Tribolium castaneum: one gene and its partner. The protein of the gene in region 2 interacts with the protein of the main gene of each other region in a biochemical or structural test. Links are inferred from orthologs where the notes say so. Each region holds a gene or a part of one and is shown on either strand. Other genes may lie near its edges.

Region 1 (11,096 bases), about 29 Mb from region 2:
GGTGTGTTCAGCACGCGAGGTTTTTGCAAAAAATATTTTTCGCTCGGGTAATAACTGCTTATTCAGGAAACGAGATTTCGGAAACTGACAAGCCAACAATAGAAGGAAATTTTGTTTTATGGTAATTTTCGCCCACCTTTCACATAACGTCGGTGCCGTTTCAAAGTCGGATGTAATCGATCCAGACGTTGTTCAATTTGTTCGTCTTCTGCTGACTCGGGTGACGAACACAATAAAATATAAACAAGATGATTTTCATCCTGTTTTATGCAGCTTTTGTGCGCGCACAATGGAGTTTTAATCAAAATAAATAGACGAGACAGGAGGACAAGTATTAGGCGAGCGGTGGACAACGCGTAAAAGACACTAAAATTTAAATAAATAAATCAAAAATCGAAATATAGAAAACCAATAGCACTACAAAAATAAAGAACTGGAATTAAAAATAAAAAAATAAATATAATAGAACTAAAAATAAAATAAAAAAATTGGAATCGAATATACAGGGTTATTCTTGTAGAATAAGTTTCATTAGAAACTTTTTAACTTCTAATACAGTTAACGCTTCAACTTTGGAATTTTAAATAGTAACCACATATTTTGATTGGATCTTGGTATTCACCTTCTCAAACTGAGTCAAATTAACCCAAGTTGTTGGTACTTATCTGTCATAGTTTTCGACATATGTCACTTTTTTTGTTAAAATTTTCATTTGCTTAGGTTTATTTAAAATATCACAACCCTTAAACCTTTTACAATAACCGAGTATTTTTTACTGCATTCGATAAATGAAGGTTCGAAGAGCCTTCTAGAATTTTCAAAATTGTCAACTGTCAAAACTCAAGGCTAGTACAGGCTAGTTCCATTTGAAAAAACTGTTACAATCATATTTTGATCCTCATTTTCAAAAAATCATAGTAGCCATGCAATTTAACAGTTGACAATTCAGATAATTCTAGAAGATCCTTTAAACCTTTAGTTATCAAATGCAAAAAAAGTATTCATTTATTGTACAGGGTTAGAAAGCCAATTTCACATTGTTCCGGAAGTTCAGCCATTTGAAAGATGATTTTGTTAAACTCAGAATAGTTGATTTGAATCGTATACAAAATCTTAAGGCTCTGGCTGTATTTGATGTTAAAAAGTTTCTAATGTGTGCTGTAAAAGAATCAGCCTGTATTTTAAAGAAAGGTAAAAAAATTATGGAAAAATTCTGAAGAAGAAATAAAAAAATTAATAGTAAGACGCTGATTTCTGTGAATTCACCCTGTATAACATATTTATTTTTTCTATTACAGAGCCTAAAAATGCAAATGCAAAGATTTGAGAAATAGAATTAATTTCGTTTAGCATAAAAGAAAAGTCATTTTTCTTTTTTTTCTCTTCTAGAAGGCATAGTGTAGAACTTTTCTTACACAGGCAATATAAATCTGAAATTTACTTACCTACAATCTGCCTACCTTCTGAAGATTTGAAACAGAATATACCCCACATTAAAAAAAATGATGGAAAATTCATGTTCTATTTTTTATTTCGCTCTGTATTTCAAACATTATGATACAAGTTATACAGAGTATTAAAATAACGCATAAAATTCTTATACTTGCTATGGCTTTTTTTTCAAAAAAAATCTTCGAACAGGTCTAAATATTACACTTTGGCATTTGTATTTCAAAATTTTTGACGTCGCTAGTTTTTAAGAAATAAGGTACTTTTTTATTTTTATTTTTTCTAAAAGCAACCGAAATTTTTGTTTAAGGGTTTTTGACAGTAGTTTTATATCTTTATAGCAAATGTAAAAAATTCAAAAAAAAATAAAACAAAATAAAAAAGTTATGGATAATTTTACAAAAGATTCTGGCATTATTTTATAAGAAATGATTTTTTTATTTTTTTTGTCTTTAGATATCGTAATAAGTGTTTTCATGTTAATTCTTTAAAAAAATTAAAAAAATAATCGCCCTTCATAAAATAAAGCAATAACAAAGAAAAAACCTTTATTTTTAATTTCATTTTGTAATTTTATTATTACTAAAAAGATAAAGAAGTTATTATTATATCATTAATTAAAGCACGTTTATTGTTCAGGGTTGTAAATATTAGAAAATTTGTTAGTTTTGGTTGCAAACAAGTCGCAATAACCATTATTCGGTGCGACCTTTCGCTCGATTAAACCAATTGGCCGTCAAACCAGTGAAACAATTTCGAGCAATTAACAAACTTTCGTCCCCCTCTCTACCCCCTAAAACCGTAATTTTCCTAATTGCAATAAGAAAGTGGAGAAAGAGAATTGGCTTTATTTATTAGAAATCGAGACGAGACGACGAGAAGGCTAGGCTGGCTAGCTTAGGGGAAACTCAGCAGGGGACAAAACAGTCCCGAATCGAGGACAGAGAGGCAAAATCGACATGAATGAACTCGTCGTCGCTTGCTCGCTCCGGCCTTTGAACCACCGGAACCAGGGCCGGATTACAAAACACGATGTCTAGGTCTAGCCTAGGGGCGCATTTAACAAACAAAAAGAAACACAACAAATAAAAAATCGTTTTGTAATAAATTAAAAATGACAATTCATTTATTTCTCTTGTTTATATTTTACCTTTCTCTTGTGTAAAACTTAATTTTTGTCTGACAGCAACTACTAAACCTGTTAATTACCCACTCAAAAAACATATGTAAAAAGTACTATGTTATTCTATGTATTCAAGATTCAAGATAGTTTATTATAACACAAATATAACTCAAAATCTAGTCGTGATAGAATAGTATATTAAAGTACAAGTGGATATTCAGGTCTTTAAAACGATCGGTTTTTCGCGCACGACGGCGTAGCCGGAGTGCTCGAAATAGATCAAGTGTTTTAAAAACCAGTTATCCTAGAATACTTTACGTTATTTTATAAGCTTATATTTTCTAGTCTTGCTCAATGAAATCGCCTTATACTGGCTGAAAACGACAATTTTTAAGAAATCAGTTGATTTTCAGCGACTACTTGCTCAAAAATGGCGAAATTCGCTGTAGAAAACCTGAAATCACTTCATTTTGACTCCAAAAACTACGATTTTAGTTCCATTTTTTTGAAAAATAGTTGATTTTTGACGATTTCTTGCTGAAAAATAGCAAAACTTGCTCCAGCACAAGTCAAAAAACATAGGGTGGGTTTAAATTAAGTCATAAACTTCGTATTTTTGTTATCTTTTTTCAAAAAAATGCTCGAACAGGTCGATTTTATATTTGTAAATGTTACATTTTGGCACCATGGTAACATGACGTCACTTCTGAATAATGGCATTTTTAATTTTTTTAATGGCAACCAATATTTTTGTTTACTGTTTTGGTGGTATACTCTCCTATCTTTATAGTATGAATGAAAAAGTGAAGAAATAAATATTTAAAAGAATCATAAAAAGAAGAAAACAAAGAAAAAAATAAAAAAAAACATGATAATAGCTTAATCTTTTTTATTTTGCCTTAATTTATAAGGGCGATTGTTTTATACTTATTTTGAAAAATTATAATAACAAGAATATGAATTTTATGCGTTACTTTAAAACTCACTCTGTATATTATTATTTTCCGTTTTATTTAACATTTGTCCGAAATCTTTTGTGGCACTAAGCTCGAAATAATAATTTTCCAAAAATATAATTTGCGATACGTCATTGTCGATTTCCATTATTTCAAATTGTAAAATAGACTTCTCTGTCACAACGGAACACTATTGTAAAAATTCTGCAAACTTCACAAAATAACAAAGAATTTCACCAATTTCCAACAGTTATTTGTACTTTCACCATGACAGATATGTCATAGATATAGAAATGGCACTCGAAAAACTACTTATGTCCATAATTTGTCACTAATATTTTGAGAAATATTCAACAATACATTACTCTTAAAAAAGTAAGAAAACCATAGAACCTGAAATTAAAATTTGTTTTTTATTTATGTACTTACTAATTAATTTAAACTTTCTTAGCATTTTAACTAAAATATTTTTTCCAGGTTTTGTGTATCAAATTGTTGTTTTAATGTAAACATGGGATAACGACGAAACGTGAATCTTGTCAATAAATTACAAATATTTTTCCTGTTTTGTGGTTTTCTCAGTTATTTTGTGGTTTTTGCGACATGTGACAACATTGGAGTAAACTGTCAATTGTGACAGTCATTCTTCATTTTATTTGCCTCTGTCGCCTTGGCGATTAAACCCAAAGTCATTTGTAACGAAAAATAAGACTTTAGTGCCGTAACACATAAATATTTATTGTTAAAAACCGTGTAAAAAACAACAAATATAAATTATAATATGTAAAATTGGAGTGAAGACTAGTAGGGGGCGCCTTCTAGATCCGCTTCGGGGCTTTTTCAACCGTAATCCGGTCCTGACCGGAACAACCCCACAAAAAACACAACAACCTGTCAAAGCGAACCGATCGCGACTTCCGTGGAATTTTGACAGATCGATCGAAACAATCGCCAATCGATTAACACGTGCCTACTAGACTAATAACAATAATAACAAGAAATTGGATGAATCATTCATACCGCTGTGTTCGGTGAAAATATTTGAGACAATCTGCCGTCCATCTTTCGTTGCTCGGGGTCTACTTCTGGCCGTTCTAATCGAGTGGTGGGTGCCGATCACTGGTCGTTCCTTGGTGTTTTGGGCGCCCATGGCTTGCAAACATACCCTCCCGGATTGTCACTTAATCCCCCTCTGACGTATGCACACACACATAGGAAGAAAGATGCACACACTCGCACACCGCACTCAAAAGGGTGGCGGATTCGAAAACCCCACAACACAACTACATAATACTCACGCACGACACTCCAAGAACCGCAACAGCTTCGGTCTCAGTTATTTGGCATTTTACGGACGCGAGAAAACCGTCGTTTTAACGATTAGTCGGGATAGATCAATCGCACCATACGTCTACTCCGCCATATTTAAGAAATTCAGCCATAGATAGCGAGAATTCCTATCAATGAACGGCCGGGTAGGCAACACATTATACATATTTTATCTAACTTTATGTATTATTGTGCTTGAAGGCGATAAAAGTGCATTATGGGCACTTAAAATTTGATATTTCGTTTAAACATCGATTGTTTTGTTATTAAAATTGCTAAAATTGGGTACCCTTCTAGAATTGATATGCAACTACTTATACACATAGTCATTCTAACTGTTGTAAATTCGAATTAATGCCGCGACGTGTTTTTGCATTAAATAGTATTTAAATAATATTTGCTAATTAGAACAAACAAAAAACTTTTGGTAAATCTAACTAAGAAGAGATCATTGTTGTATTCTGAAAAATATTAAATAGACAATAATAAAATAAATTTATTTCGAACTGTTGCACAGTCGGACTTTTAACGCATCCACCATAAAATCAAGTAACATTTGAAATTAAGTTTTTAATTTTGTGCTGTCAGTGTTGTTAAAGTGTTTCTTAAAAAGTCAAGGTATGTGGCTAATTATTTTTTAAACAAAGGTATTTAACTAAAAGTTAGTTTAATTTCTCAATCATCGGTACAGTAAATGTGTAGTCTGGAAAGTAGTATTTTCTGGACTCAAATATCATTAACTCATTAACATAGCTCATTAAAGACCGTTAAAATCGTTTGTAAAGTGATTTAAATAGTTCGTAAAATGTGCATGAATGTAATACGTCCTTAATATGATTAGGAATTCCTTGTTAATCTCCTTTGGAAATGACAAAATTGTTAGGCAACGGCCATACCATGCTGAATATTCGGAAATAAAATTACCGTTGGGGGCGCCACTGAGCTAGGTCGAAAACAGTAACCATAAATGGCGTGAAAATGTTTATTCGGATATTTTGAGCGTTGTACGAATTTTGAGGCTTCACAATTATTACATTGCCTATGCGGAATGATTATTGCATCTTTGATGCAAGAAACTTATGTTGACAAATGAGAGATGACGAGGAAAACACGAATAACGAATGACTGTTTGGTTCACTTTCTTTATTGGAAAATTATTACAAAGACATTGAAAAGCCTACCTTTTGGCATAATTTACGTTTAAATGTATCAGCAGTTGTTAATCTTTATTGTCGTTTTGTAGATTTACCGCAGCATTTCATGATTTTTTCAGTGGAAAATTCTAACCTAAAATTCATAACACTTCACTAATTTATTGGTTTCTTGAGCCAAACTTTGTGTTCGCTGTGATCCATTACTTATAATCTTTAATTAGACAACTGTTTGATAACACTTTGTAATCAAAATTTAAATATTTTTCACTTTTTATCCACTTTCAAGTTCCAACAATAAACACTTTATACCACGAAAAACTACAGAACCAAAGTCAACGCTAGTATTTACCACCACGTACTTTTAAAGTAATTCTTTCTATTGTAAGTAATTAACACTATACACGCAAAATTGTTGAACAATTCATTAAATGTCAGTTAAATGTGGCATTACGAAAATTTCTTTACTGTTTTCGACATAGTTCAAAAGTCATCACCAGAGGGCGTCTAGTTAATTTTATTTCCGAATACCAGTTCTCGTCTGATCACCGAAGTCAAGCAGCATCGGGCGCGGTTAGTACTTGGATGGGTGACCGCTTAGGAACACCGCGTGCCGTTGCCTTTTTTCTGCACTTTTAACATTTTAAATAATACCATACACAGTTCAAAATCATAGCAAAAAGCAGTAGAAAAATTGGTGTCTCAAAATTGACATCCGTCTTTTGGGAGTTTGATCCAAGGAGCTAAACAAATCGGAAGTTAAGAGTAAAAAAATTTACAATTGTCCTTCATTGTCGATTTACTGATTAAAATGTAAATAATCAACTTTATGCTGTCTTTCCAATTATTGGTGCAACATAATTCATTATTACTTGATCTTAGCGATCAAATTTTAAAATTTCTCTGTCTTGGACAAGTATTATCTATTTCCTTCGGTTTTCTGCCTTTAAAATGAAACAATAATACTGCATTAGTGCATGTATTTTAACGCATTTTTCAAAATTTATCCCCTGGATAAAGTTATCGGACGGTTGTAAAGCGGCCCTAACACAAATAGCAGAATGTGTATTGTTGGTTGCATACCGAACGCGCAGTTCTCCTAAAATTGTGTGAAACGTGCTTTATAATTTAAACCGGCTTTATACAGTTTTTAAACACACGTGTATAACCAGTTGCCTGGTGTATTACATTAATTTTAGTTTTAAGTTTAGGATCGCACATTAGGATCTAGTACATTAATACTAGTATTAATTTAGAAATAAGGCACGTATTTTCTTTAACAACAGTTAAAATCGTAACCAATTTTAATGGAAAGAAATAAGATGTATGTAATATGACTTAACAGTAGGCCCAACTAATTGTGATTATTCCAAATACTTCATATACTTCTCATTTTTAGAATTAACTAATTTCTCAAAGGGTTTGTTTATGTTTTACATGTAGACCTATTTATATTTTTCGTTTTTTATTTTGTTTAATTCTTTACTTGTTTCTTTCGTCTATATTTCTTTTTTATTTTTTTTTGGTTTTGTTTTTTCATGGAGTATTATGATCCAGATGGTTTTTCATCATTTTCAAATTATTATTTTTTATATCTAACTTTCCAGCGTCACTTGATGATCTTTCAGTTCCCTTTCTTTTGCTTTTTCCTATCGCTTTATGTATAATGATTTTTTCCGTGTTTTTTTTTCTTTTTTATGTTTCGTACTTATTATTATGTATATTAATCTTAATTCTGTTGGAAATCTTTTTTTCCAAACTTTTTTTTCCTGCGCCTTTTCTTCCTTCAATCTTCCTATTATATTCCTCATTTATTTTTGGGTATACCCCTCTTGAGTACTTACTTGATTACTTCTACCATTATTATTTCCTTTCTTGTTTGCTCCTAGTATTATTTTGTGCAGTAACTTGCTTTCCACTTTTTTAAGTATTTTTTTAAATCGTCTTAATTTTTTTGTAGAGTTTTCTTTTCCCCTATTTTAATTTTTTTAAACAATTATACCCTTTTCTTTTGTTTCTAATGTTTTTTCATTCCCCTCTTTCTCTGTCTTTGCATTTTGATTTTCTAGGTAAATAATAATATACAAAAAATCTCCATTTTTTCTACCTAAAGACTTAATCAGACCTTTTTGTGATAATAGCAGCAAATCTGACAACTTTCTTAACTTGGATCTGCTTATAAGTCTAAAATCATAGTCAAAACGTAAAAGGCTTTTTGAAGTTTTAGTCAAAAGTCAACTACAACGCAACATACGTGTTCAGAAGGTGAAGTAGTTACTGAAAATGCAATAGGAATTCAATATTTTTATATAATTAAATTACTTATTTAATGATAAGTCTGCAAAAACTTATTTCACTTTAATTTAAACGAGTTGTGTACATAGAAATGAGGATGTCAATCCTGTCTTTTTTTTCATAAAATTTATACATAATAATTGTTTCATGCTATAAAAAATAAAACAAGAATATTTATTCTCGTAATTGTGTTACAAAAAGTTAAAAAATCGGGAAAAGCTAGGGAATAGCGTGTACACCTTTCTCTCAAATTTATTACATAAATCGTTGTTAGGTGGTGTTATAATAATTACTTAATATTTTTTGCTCAATACAGTTTTTAAATCAATTTCGTGGTCTAGAGAACTTTTGAAGAAGCAAATCTTGAACGCAATTAATACGAAAATATTTTAGGGGCTATTCTCACTATAAACTTGGTTTCTTTCTTCCCTCGTTGATTATTGTACTTCACTCTTGCAATTTAAAGTACTTAACAATCAAAAACTAAACTAAAATAAACAGTTAAGAACAGAAGTATTTTGTGATTTGTTGCAACTTACTGTCTTCCGGGTCTTTATTACGACGATTTTATTTAATAACAATGCAAGATACAATGCTGTGCAGCAAATTATTGTAAACACAACGCTGCATATTACTGTAATTAAACTACTCGAGCTGAATCTGGATCCAGAGATATAGAAACTATTCAAACAACGTATTAGATATAAACCGAGATATAAGCAACACGAAAATAAAAAACAAATAATACAGGATACCTATTATTTTCACTCCAACAAAGAGAAATTCTACTAGAGAAATAAGGCCTTCACCCTTTAAAACTGCACTAGTCTTTATGTTATTACAAGTAAACCAATTAGTAAAAAAAATCGCTCACTATATATAACATTTTTACATTCTTTGTCATAAAGTGCCTGTACATTTTCTTTGTTTTCACGTTAATTACGAAATATAATGTTGGATGCTTCAAAAAATTTTTAGGCTCATTATTACTCGTAGACCACTCTGTATAGTTTGTAATGTTGATTTATTTAAAAAGTTTGTGTTAAAATATTTGCAAAAGACGGTCAGTACCTGGGGCCTCGTGGCCCAGTTGTATAAGCGCCACTTACGACGGGGGAGGTCGGGGTTCGAACCCGGATCAGGGTAACAATTTTTCTATGAAAAAAAGTGTAGAAAAGGTAAGTGAAACAACACGTAAACAAAAATAAGTGATTGAGAGAACACATAGACGTATAAACGTAAAGCGGAGCATAAAACTGACAGAAATAAGAAAATAATGCGGTAAAAGTACGTAAAGGCGCAAAATTGTAAACGTAAGACCACATCCTAATAAAGGGAAAATACCTTTTGTTTTGAGAGAAAAAGAGATGAACGTAAAGGTGAAACATAACTTCAAACTTTAGCGTTGAATCCTTAGATGACTTACTTCTTAAATTATAAAAAAAAATAAACTAAAATATTTTATTTATGTCTAAAAATTTTTAGTTAACTGAGTTTGTTTAGTAAAGTCCCGAAAAACATTGTTAATAAAAATCATGGCCACTGCGAATCCAATAGGATTTGCGCACGTCCACTATTTTTAACTAGAAAATACACAAATTTGGTGATTTTTTGAGAAATCATGTCCATTTTCGGTCAAAAACGTGATGAAAGTCACAAAAAAGGTACAAACAATTTTAAAATTGTAGAATCCTCTTATACGCTCGGTATCTTTTGGTGCAATCCGGTGAAAAAATAGAGAATTAAATTGAAAAAAAGTGGAAGAAAATGTTTTCTCGAGCTAATTCGCCGACTTTTGAACTGAATGTATTTGCGTTTTAGGTGAATTATTGCAATTATATAGTTTGTAATGTTGATTTATTTAAAAAGTTTGTGTTAAAATATTTGCAAAAGACGGTCAGTACCTGGGGCCTCGTGGCCCAGTGGTATAAGCGCCACTTACGACGGGGGAGGTCGGGGTTCGAATCCGGATCAGGGTAACAATTTTTCTATGAAAAAAAGTGTAGAAAAGGTAAGTGAAACAACACGTAAACAAAAATAAGTGATTGAGAGAACACATAGACGTATAAACGTAAAGCGGAGCATAAAACTGACAGAAATAAGAAAATAATGCGGCAAAAGATAAAAGTACGTAAAGACACCAAATTGTAAACGTAAGAGCATCCTAATCAAAGTAGAAAAAGAGTGAAAAAGAGAGAAGAACGTAAAGGTGAAACATAACTTCAAACTTTAGCGTTGAATTCTTAGATAAATTTTTTCTTAAATTATAAAAAAATTAAACGAAAATATTAATTTATATCTAAAAATTTTTAGTTAACTGAGTTTGTTTAGTAAAGGCTAGAAAAACATTGTTAATAAAAATCATGGCCACTGCGAATCCAGTAGGATTTGCGCACGTCCACTATTTTTGACTAGAAAATACACATATTTTGTGATTTTTGAAGAAATTATGTCTATTTTCGGTCAAAAATGTGAAAAAATTGAAAAACGTGGAAGAAAATGTTTTCTCGAGCTAATTCGCCGACTTTTGAACTGAATGTATTTGCGTTTTAGGTGAATTATTGCAATTATACAGGATGGTCCACGAGTAATAATGAGCATGAAAAAATTCTTGAAGCAACTAACGTTACATTTCATAGATTTTGTGGATAGTAACATATTTGATTTCAATTAATTCAACATAGTGATCGTATTTTTATTTTTGACAAATTTATATTAGTCATATTGACATTACACTTGACGTTACGTTGACACTGGAAAACAGATATAGGCTTTCTCTTTTAATTCTCCAAA
Region 2 (10,996 bases):
TGAAACGGTAAAACAATACCAAAAAACAAATGAAAAACAAATAAAACAAGTGAAAGGTGCTCAATTGCACACAGTTCATTAAAAAAACGGCATAGCATTACTTTGTGCAGTGCTCATTAACAAATTAATATCCACTGACGACTAGTTACTGGCATGCAAATGCAATTCCACAAGAAAAATAAAACACTCATCCATCACGCATCCACAACGGCATTAATTCAAATAGTTTTAGTAAACTTACACACTTCTGGAACGTAAGTTCCGATCAATCGCATTTTTAAAACAATGCAACATTAGTCTCAAGTCTGAATCGACGAGTTCAGGTCGTGCCGTCGCCGACAGCAAAAGACACCACAAGCACAACTTTTTAAACTGCCAGACGTATTATTTTCACATTTTGGCCAAATTTACAACACGAGTTTCTAGACCGCAAATGTACGCCTAAAAATATTTCATTGTGTTTTAACAAGCCATCCTTATAAACCTCGTCGTGCGATATAAAGTTTTGATGTTCTCTCGTCTGCACACTATACCTGTTATGGAGAATTCGTTATCGTACAATAAAATATGAAAAGAGACGGATTTACGTTTTTATAACAGCCCCAACAATAGTTTTTTTAATGCGTTTCCCAGAATAGCAAAAATTAATTAAAATTTCAACTTTTGTATAAATTACAAGCAAGCGATGATAGCGGAATGCGGATGAGTTCCAGAAAGTGTGATTTTTTCAAAACTTTTAAACCCTATACAAATCGTACAAAAGTTTTTAGAGATTTCTAAATTTCAATACAAAATGGCAAAATCCCTCGTGACTTTTTTCTTAACTCTAAATAAAGAAGAAACTCTTTTTATACAGAAACTTTGGAATTTTTTTTTCCTAATTCACAAGCACCTCAGATCCAAGGGCGATACTTGATCTCTCAACAAACTGAGTAGTTCTTTAGGAGCGGCTTTCAAAACACCAATACTTAAAATTCGTTCAGATGTAATGCGAAACAACGTTTTTGTCCGTTTTCGTTTGCACCAATGGTGCAAATTCGGTCAAAACTTGGTGCAGTTGAAAAAGTTGTGATCGTGGCTCTTAAGTCATCGTACTTCCAACACGACTAGAACGCGCAAATTGCAGCAAAATCGCCCCCCGTCCCCTGCCAAAAACTACATGTGTTCTTATATTGCAAACGCTGTGTTGCAACGCAAAAATACTCCAAAAATCAAAAAATCACCACCCTTGACTCACAAAAACCGCCCCCTGACCGGATTCTCTTACCGTACTGTTTCGTTCTGACTGGTATCGGGGGTGTGGTGGCGCCTTCCCCACGTTGCGATCTCGCCGCCAACCACACGTAATACAGAGTGTTGGGATAAAGTCCCGTCAATGTGTAGGATTCGGTGATAGGTATGCGACGGTGGTGTTTCTCTTTGGCGTACGTGTCATTCCAGTAGAGCTCGTAATTGACGATGTTTTCCCCGGAATGCGTCGGTTTGCTCCACTGTAGGGTGACGGAGGTCTCGCCGATATCCGACGCCATCAGGTTGCTCGGTTGGCTTGGGACGCCTAAACAGACCAACCCATAAGTAAAAAAAAATCTAAATTCAATTTTTTTGTTTTTATTTTTAAATCTTTGTTATCAAAAATATGATTATAAACAATTATGGTCGCACCTTGTTGCGTTTTTACGTGGACGGGGGCACTGAGCGGGCCAGGACCTACTGAAGTGAAGGCCTGGACACGGATGGTGTAGATAGTGTGAGGAGTTAGTTCGCTGATTGTTGTTAGTTGATTGTTGTCGACGACTTGGGATTCCCATTGGGCCATCGGGAGTTGGGAGTTGGTTGTGTAGTATACTTTGTATCCCTAGTGATGACAAAGAGGAAATGTGGGTTAATAAAGCCGTTGGACAAAGTATTACACGTTATTGAGTTGAAACAACTCAACTCATAAGAACGGTCACAAGTAACCACATTCAAACTTCTATCAGATTTTAGAATATATTTTCAGCTATTTAAGCAGTCCCTGAAATAAATGTGAATTGTTGTAAACAAAGTACAAAAGTTACGATTCCGTTGTTTCGCGAAAACAATAATAGAACACTTGAAAAGCTGATAAATTCGTGCTTTAAAAGTGAAAAACGAAAGCAATATTACTATTGTATTCTTGTTAATACCATGAGCATTGCTGGCAATACTACAATTGAAAAAAATTTCGAACTGAAAAACTGAAAAAAAAAATTTTTCAATTGCTTACTATACAAAAAGTGGTTACATAACGTTTTAAAATTGAAAATGAACGGACATTTTTAACTTTATGATAGACACAGAGAAAAACTGTATAAGTATAGAAAAGATAGATCCATAACAGTTTTATCAAAAGAAACAAAAAAAAAAAAACGAAAAAAAGTTTTATAAAAATACGAAAAGTCGAGCTATTATGTACCAAAAGGATGATTTTTCTCAAAAGTGAATAATTTGTATTAGTAACTTAAGAGTTTCTATCGTTTCGAAGTATTATTATTATTCGAGGTATTATTATTAGGAAAACTAACTCAAATATTCTGCATAAATAAAAATATACTGGAGATTAACTTTCAAATGTAGTTTTTCACTAGATAACGCGATCATTCAAAGACTTTTTAGTGCGTCTATTTTGGCAACATTGAAGTAAGCAATGGGAAGTTGAATTTACATCAAAATTATGAAAAATTACGAAAAAAGTACAATTAGGAGACACGTATAAAAAATTAAGAAAAAAAAATCGGTGTCAATTTCAACACTTGCAAAAGTTGCAAAAAGCTAGTTAAAAGTTTCAACCAAATATTTTTTTAAATATTTATCAGGTCAGTATGTCTTAAAAAACATGCAACGAATTTTGGCAAATATTTTACCCCATTTTATTAAAGTCCTTTTCAATAGCGGGCATAAAACTTTCACAAAAAAATAGAAAAAAATTTTCATCTAGTCCTGAATATGATAATAAAGATAATTTTGGAAATTTAACAACAATGAAATATAGTGGACTGTCTCTGAGTAATTTATTTCCTCTAAACAACCATAATACACTTGGAAACTGGTTAATTCCAATTTTTTAATTGTTTCAATTTCGGGAAAAAATGCAATGTAAAAAACTTACGGTAACTTGTCCGTTTGCCGTTTCGGGTTCGTCCCATTGAATGACCATGGTACTGGAACTCAGTGGTCGGACTTGCACGTTTCGTGGTGACGATCCGGGTTCTGAAATGGAGTTGACTCAGATCGCGGAATAAATGTGTTGGAAATATGCATTCATAAAAGTAAAATAAAAAGGGATTCGACCGAAAAAAACAACAAAAATGAGAAAGGTCTGTTACACAAATGACGCCACTTATTATTTATTGTGTACATTTAACTTACTGGCACCTCCAAAAGACGTTTCAGCTAAAACAGAAAAAAGAACAATTAAAGTGGCCAATAGTGACGCGTTTGAAGAAATTTATCAAAATTCTAATTGCTAGAGAGTACCAAAAGGCGTGAGTGAAAAACTACTCTAGTCGTGTAAAAAATGCACACAAAAATCTGAAAAAAACTTACATTAGGCATAGGCACAAAATCCATATGAAAAATGGGTAGTTTGCATGAAAATGATAAACAGTAGGGTGAAAGAAAACGAAATTTATGGGTGGATTAAGACACTTTACTGTCATCATCATGTCGCGTGATGGATGGAAAAGGTCCCATTCTTTTAGATCAGTAATCAAACCGTTGCTTCGCTTCTGCCACCGCCGTTCGTTTGTGGAGTGACAGAAGCGGAACAAGTGGTTGCAATACAGTCGGAATTTAATGAATCCGGAGGAAATTACCTGTTTCTCCTGTGGTAACAAACTCCGGTGCGCTCGGAGGCCCTCTCCCAATATTGTTGACGGCAATGACGTACATTTCGTATTCGGTGTAGGGACTAAGGCTTCTAATCGTATAATACATGGTAATGATTCCTGATATTTCGCTGAAGGCTTGATTGGCATATTTTGGCTTAAATTGAATGACGTAATACTGAAGATCCTCCGGTCCGTTGTAGGACCAAGTCAGCCGAACGGAAGTCGCTGTGATTTCTGACGCTCGAACATTGATAGGTGGTCCCGGTAATGCTAAATTCGCGCCAAATCAATAGTCAACAGAGTCTCAAACTTGGACGGATTACTACTCACATTGTACTTTGACCTGAGCAACAGCATCGATAACGCCCAACACGCTAGCGGCTATACAAGTATAATTAGCAGACTCTTGAATATTAGTTAGTTGCAAAGTGTTCTTCCCAATGGGTAACTTGTCTTCAGGAGTTAGGTCCTGAGTGAGTCCTTTACGCCACTTGACGAAAGGCATCGGCGAACCCACTGCCACACAAGTCAAGTTCAGATTAGCACCCAACATCACTTCACTCAGCGGCGCTGGAGGTATCGAAAATTGGGGAGAAACACGACGCACTACGAAAGCAAATTTTACAAAACAACTATTTTATTATCTAACCAATTCAACCTTTGACGTAGAGTTGAGCTGACTTGGAGTAGTCGGTACCGATCGCGTTTTCCGCCATGCACTCGTACTTGCCTTGGTCTTTTTCTTCGCTATCTCTAATTTGGAGGGTGCCTGAAAAAAATTATATCTACCATTCACGTTTCTAAATAAAAATTGCATAATCTAAAAAAGTCAATTTCAGTAACCCATAAAATATTGAAATAATTTTAGTCACTCCACAGAAAGGTGTAAATGACTGTAAAATTACAATCTTCAGCTTCTAGTAATTTAAATTTTTTTCTTCGTAGAAACACTTTTCTCTGCTAGATCTAAGAAAAATCTTTTAAAATAAGGAAAGTTTTAAAACCAGAGACAAGCCAAAAAATATTTTTGCATAAATGTAACCATTTTTTTTAACTAGAGGTAATTTATTCTCGTTAAAAAATAAGTAAAATGCCCAACTAATAGAATTATTGTCCAAAAGATGAAAGGAAACTATAAAAAATGTCATAGGAGTAGAGATATTGCTAAATTAAAAACATCTCTAGAATTATAAAAAACTCTAAGATGTGATTCTTTCTAAAGATTAGCTCAAGTTTTATTATTATTTTGTTTTGATGGAAGTTTTTGTAATGTCAAGAGATTATTTGGGACAAAATTATTCATAATTAGAATGACGAATTTGGTGCAAATTGTCTTTCGAATATATAGCGACGTGCGTAGTCAGGGCTGTTAAAATTATTTAAAACGGCTGTTGTTATTGTTATTAATGGCATATCAGTATTTAATTGGAGACTCAGAATAAAATAACAATCAGCAATTATGAAAAAATAAGACAGGCATAAAGCCTTGTAGTCAGAAAAATAAGTAATAAAACTACAGTATTGGTTAAGGAACTCATAACTGGAAAGTTATAACATAAATAAATTATTTCTAATGTTTGTTTTAATTACACGTTAGCTTTAAAAAAGTTAATAAAACTTTGGCGAGCTTTACATCAAAGTATTACTATTCCGGTCGAACTGTAAGTAAAATATATACCCTACAATATTTTATGTTAAGAAAAAAATTAGTTCAAGAAGTGAAGACTGAATGTTAGGGTTAAATATCACATTAAAATTCGTACGAACTTGCTAAGATATTCTGATATTCACGTAGATACATTCAAATTAACTCACTCAAATCATGCCAAAGGAAGTTAACTCTAGAATTTATATTGAAGTTGTAATAACTAATAACCACGTTTTTTAACACTTATTTGGCAAAATGACTGAAACTATAAATTGGAAGATTTTGACTGTGTACCTCAATTTAGGTCATTTTTACAGTGAAGATTTCTTAATGCGACCTTTAATCTATCTTGGAATCACAATTTTTTGGTTCGTTTAGCAAAACCAAGGAGTTTTACGCACAACATTCGGTGTAATTTGGTCAAAACAGTACGAAAGTACAAGGATAGAAATATTTTTTCCTAATTCGAATTAGATTTTCCGCGTCTTGGAGATTCGCGTTAGAGAAGTTTCACTGTTGCAAATATTGGCCATCTCATTGGTAGAACTCACATAGTAGATTTATTTTTTCAAGTAGTAACGTTTTAATTTTTTACGATAAAAAGACGCTTTAAAATTTTGCAATTCGCATTCGCATTGTGGGCGTAATGTAGGTGGTAGTGAAGTGGCCGAGATGATTCGCTATAGTCCTCCCGTCAGTAGAACTAATGTTCCCCAGGGAAAACGATCCGTCCGGGGAATTCCACTAAACACGTGAACCGGACACTCGATTAGTTCGAGCACACAAAATACGAACAGCTAACAAAGAAGCTTCTAAAATTCCAGAAACGTGCTTTAGTGATCTTCCTTCGCAAGATAGCATCCCGTTACGAAACGCTTTCAAACCGTTAAATACCCCCTAATAGGATATTAACAAGGCGGTTGTAGATTCTGAATTTATCGTCCGCAAAGAATTGATTATGATGCGGCGACCATGCATGAAATGATTCTACCGCACATATTTTTTCCACGTTCGCGACAATTATTATTGATGTGGCGGATTTCCTTGCTGGATATAAGTAATTATAGTGAATAGCCGACCGGGAGAAAACCCGTCGAATCATAAAAAGCTGTTATTGTGTGAGGTGTGAGCATTATTCCTGGGCCAGATCAGAGCTTAACGTCGGGGAGATAAATAGAGTTTTTGTTGTGGTTCGTTTGCGGATATTCCTTATTCCTGGTTGGCTGAATCAATATGCAAGCCGGGTAAACGTAGCTTATATTACGTTTCGCCGCAGCAGACGCTGCATATAAAATTTATAAAAAGAAAATTTCTCAAGACCCAAAGTGATACACTGCGATTTCGAATTATCGAAAAAAAGAGACCGTTTAGCAAACACTCGGTCTGTTCAGAAATTGCAAAAAAGCCCATTTTCATGCAGGGTTAATTGATTTTCCAATTTTAAAATAATGTGATATTTATGTAATAAACTGCAAAAAGTGTTTTAGGCACGCGATCTGAATATTGTCCACCGAGACTGAAAATCGAGATGTGTAACACGTAAGCTGCTTAAATAACATCAATTTTGTAGCAGATATATTTTATACAAGGCTTTTAAAACGTCTTTAAAAACGACTGATTAACATTTCTTGCACTGTTCGGCAAAGTTGTTTAAAATCTCGGATTTGTCTCTGAATTTGTGTTATTATTGTTATTTTCGTTCTTTCTGGTGTTGTGTGTTATTCTTTGAGTTGTGATTTAGTTTACAGATGGCATTTATTTAACTTGATATTTTATTACAAAAGAAATACAGAATGTTTAATGTTTTAATGAATAAATTCATCTCATCAAGACATGTTTCCACTTTGTTACAATTTACGCTTTTTAGATAAGAAGAAAAGATACTAACAGAAAAGAAGTCTTAAACGAAACGTCTAAGTTTTTTTTAGATTACCTACGTATTTATTTAATCCAGGAATCTTCTGAAAATAAGCCAAAAACTTAGTGAGAATTAAACTAAGTAATTAATTAAAATTAAGTTTGTGCTAATAATAAGCACGACTTATACTAAATTTGCAATCTGTCTTTTGATAACATTTTGGCCTTAATTTTTTTGCTGACATGTTTTTTTTTTTTAAATTATGAAGCTTTAAACTCCCATAATAAATAGAAATTTGTGTCAATTTAATTAAAAAATCGGAGTTTCAATTTGGTTTTGGAAACCATTTTTGAGATTACTTCGCTTTTGTTAGTCTAAAAATTGTTTTTTTTCATCCCTTGTCCTCGCAGTTATTATTTAAGCTAGTATTTAAGTACGTTTTTAATCAAATATCAACTTAAAAAATAAAAATAATAACAATATTAATTGGCCAAAAGTAACATTATTTATACCAAAATAATTTTTGGTATAAGTATCATTTTTAATTTCCTGCCTTTGTCTATTAATTACAACTCGTGAAACGAGCCAATGGTGTCACTTGCAGCACTGTCAACGCTGGTGTCTATTTACTCTATTTGCCACGTGACTATAACAATTGGGTTGCGATTATCGATTGAATCCTCCAACAATGGTAAATAAATTCTAGTTATTTGGGTTATAGGTAGAATCTTTCGAAAGTGTAAAAAGTGTGCGAGCTTTTGTGCTGCATGTATGCAGAGGGTGCAGCTGCTTTCAGATTGTAGGTGGAAAGTTAGTGAAAGATGAGCTTTCGTCGACAAGCTCTGCAAGCGAATGACTCCGTTTTCGTTTTTCCCTCTTCCAGCCAGCAGCCGCCATATTAAAATCGTGCGACACCGTTTTGATTTCCCGCGAGATTAACTTGCCCAATTAGCGGTTTTCAGCGATTGGAAAGTAACTCAGTTTTTTTACCTGGCATTTCGTCCCTGATGGTGTACCGTGGGCTGGTGGAGCTGTTGATGGGCAGCATGTTCTTCAGCCAGGTGATCTTGGGCGGCGGATTACCAGTGGCGGCGCACGAAAGCACAGCTTTGTGCCCAATTTCGACGACCTTGTTGGTGGTGGGCGACTGGGTGATTTGGGGGAAGCCCGGCGGCAATTTATCGGCTGCAAAACAAAGAAGACGTTTAATAAACGACAGGTTCTGGCTTGACGAAGTAAACTGTAATAAAGCGGCCACGTGATCCCTTTTAATCTATTAACAAATTTCCATAGGCATTCAGAATGCGCGTAAATCAAAGCGTAAATTATAGATTTACGGGGGAATTTATTGCCGGCTTAGTAGCGGTGGGCCTTGTGCGATATTACCCACACAGATCGAACAATTTAATGCTTCGATCGTGTGTAGTGGTATTTACACGAATTTGCTGGTCAATGTAAGCCGGTGTACATACGTCCGTTCCGATAACATTAAACTTGCAACGAAATCGAAACGGACCTAATTCGATACGTGAAGCTTGTACGAAGGTACCAAACACACTAAAATTTTATATTTCATTCGGTTCGGCCCTGGATTTATGGCCCGGCCCAAACGCACTATAAATGCACTGAATTTAACCAATTTTTCATAATTTAGACCACATGGCAGCATAGTGGCGAAATGCCAAATTTTTTGCCTTCTTAGAAATCATTTTGGTCTACATTTTATTTTTAAACGTAAAAATAACAAAGGTCTGGGAAAAACTGCTTCAAAACCTTCCGTTTGTCTAAGTCTGATTATTAAAATGAAATTAGATAATAAATAAAATAGTTAAAAAATTAATCCGTCTTTAATCTTGAGTCAAACCCATAACAACCATTTTTGACAAATTTTTTAAAAATGATTAATAAATAAAAAAGCTTTCTTGTACAGAGATTTCTCTGCGACAGAATATGCATATGTAGGTATATAAAAAATATTTCATTTTACACGCCTGACTGTACGTTCGAAAGGTATCTCCCCCAATTTTTTGGTAATTTTTCTTTTGCAGATAAAAATAATAATTAAAAAAATATATTTTTGACCAAAAAGTCAAATTCTAAATTTTATACTAAATCATGCGTATTCACTTGAGATAATTGTTTACGAAAGTAGCGAAGAAAAATACCAATCAGATTTTGAATTAAACGCACTTTTACATTTCAACTTTAAAAATTATTTTTATTTATGAGTAGCTACTTGTGGCGTCGTAAATTTTGGTGACAATGTGAACTGTAATTGGGGTAAGATTGTAAAAGATTTCGTTGGGATATTTCAAAGCAGGCATCAGTTTTATTGCAAGACTGTAAATAAGGGGCTTCAAAGAGGTCGGCTACTGGTAACTGATCCATTTGTTGGCAAATTATACCATCTTCTAATAAATCACGCGTCTAAATAAGAAAGACCGATTATTTCACCAACCAAGTAAAAATTTATAATTCTGATACCAGCGTTCGATGGGCTAGCAAGTAAGAATTCATTTGGTCTAAAAACTTTCTAGTTAAATTAACAGTTAGTGCCCAAAAACTCACAAAACTGCTACGACTTTATTTATTAATAAAAAAATTTAATAAAAATCGAGAATGGTCGTTATCAATGTACAGGCTGGTGTGTAAAATTTCATGATTTTTATTTCATTAAAAGTCGCGATTTTCTTGGGTGCGCGATAAGGTTGCCCACCCAGTATAAAATTTATTAGATTTATTAGAATAGACATTTATAATTTGTAACAACGTAATGATTAATATATAGAAGCTGCTTTAAATAAATTTCCGTGTTAAGTCGGTAATTTATCTCGACTGGTTAGATAAGTCTTAGACGAGACTAAGTAGATGGATATATGATTTTTCGCTGTCCGCGTATGTTTGATGTGTGAGCACCCTATATGCATGTATATGGCAGTCGGTCCTTTATCGAGTCTGACGCGGACCATATTCTGAGTAAATATTTTGCAAAACACGTAGACTTCAAAGGAACTCGAGAGCAAATTTATGTAAAAAAGCCCTCAAATTATATTTGCCTTTTCTCGTTTAAAAATTCGATGAACGATAAACTTCATTCTGCGAAGGAAAATCTGCAATCCTATCCATTTGCAGACAATGCAGCCCTTGTCTGCTTTAGGAACGTCAGGAAAATCCGCTGAGATTTTTCAGTATGCATGGAACGCCTGAAATAAATGTTAATTAAAATTCCTCACGGCGGAAGTATCCGGGAATGATGCAGGTGAAATGCGAAACTGCACCAGACAAGCACTCCATATAGACTTTAGATGCACACCATCTGATACAATTTCGCCGTGAAGTTTAGTAGTCGAGAGTGCCTAGGGAGCTTCCGGAGTAGGTAAGTGCCCCGGCATCGCATGCCTTCTACGTCAACTTAACGGCAATGTACTGTCATTTGTGCTTTTTCAATTTTTAAACGTAAACGAGACGTGTCACGTTCAATTTAACGTTCATGACGAGTTTGCTTCGCGGAAAGAGAACCAAAAGGCTGATGCTCATATTACGGCCGAAACCACCAAAGTCGTAATATAGCCGCGGTTATGTACGAATTCGCAAAGAGCTCGAGTAATGGGCAGAAAAAAGGCGGCGACGAAGGCTGAAAGC

Evidence for each region. The genes of interacting proteins can lie anywhere in the genome.
Region 1: of the proteins of Lar (region 2) and Abl, one has a biochemical effect on the other in vitro, tested with the Drosophila melanogaster proteins (2 studies listed by BioGRID, with this or other methods). The link is inferred for Tribolium castaneum from reciprocal best matches to the Drosophila melanogaster genes Lar and Abl.

What each region holds. Positions count from the first base shown.
Region 1 is NC_087394.1:5,576,171-5,587,266, reverse strand, and holds the start of Abl (tyrosine-protein kinase Abl), read right to left. Parts: upstream 4,978-11,096; 5' UTR 4,679-4,977; coding exon 4,549-4,678; intron 1-4,548. UniProt on the Drosophila melanogaster protein: Arm and Abl proteins function cooperatively at adherens junctions in both the CNS and epidermis; critical for embryonic epithelial morphogenesis regulating cell shape changes and cell migration.
Region 2 is NC_087394.1:34,998,043-35,009,038, forward strand, and holds part of Lar (tyrosine-protein phosphatase Lar), read right to left. Parts: intron 8,540-10,996; coding exon 8,345-8,539; intron 4,618-8,344; coding exon 4,507-4,617; intron 4,455-4,506; coding exon 4,179-4,454; intron 4,119-4,178; coding exon 3,834-4,118; intron 3,412-3,833; coding exon 3,388-3,411; intron 3,229-3,387; coding exon 3,128-3,228; intron 1,856-3,127; coding exon 1,663-1,855; intron 1,556-1,662; coding exon 1,268-1,555; intron 1-1,267. UniProt on the Drosophila melanogaster protein: Possible cell adhesion receptor. It possesses an intrinsic protein tyrosine phosphatase activity (PTPase). It controls motor axon guidance. In the developing eye, has a role in normal axonal targeting of the R7 photoreceptor, where it negatively regulates bdl.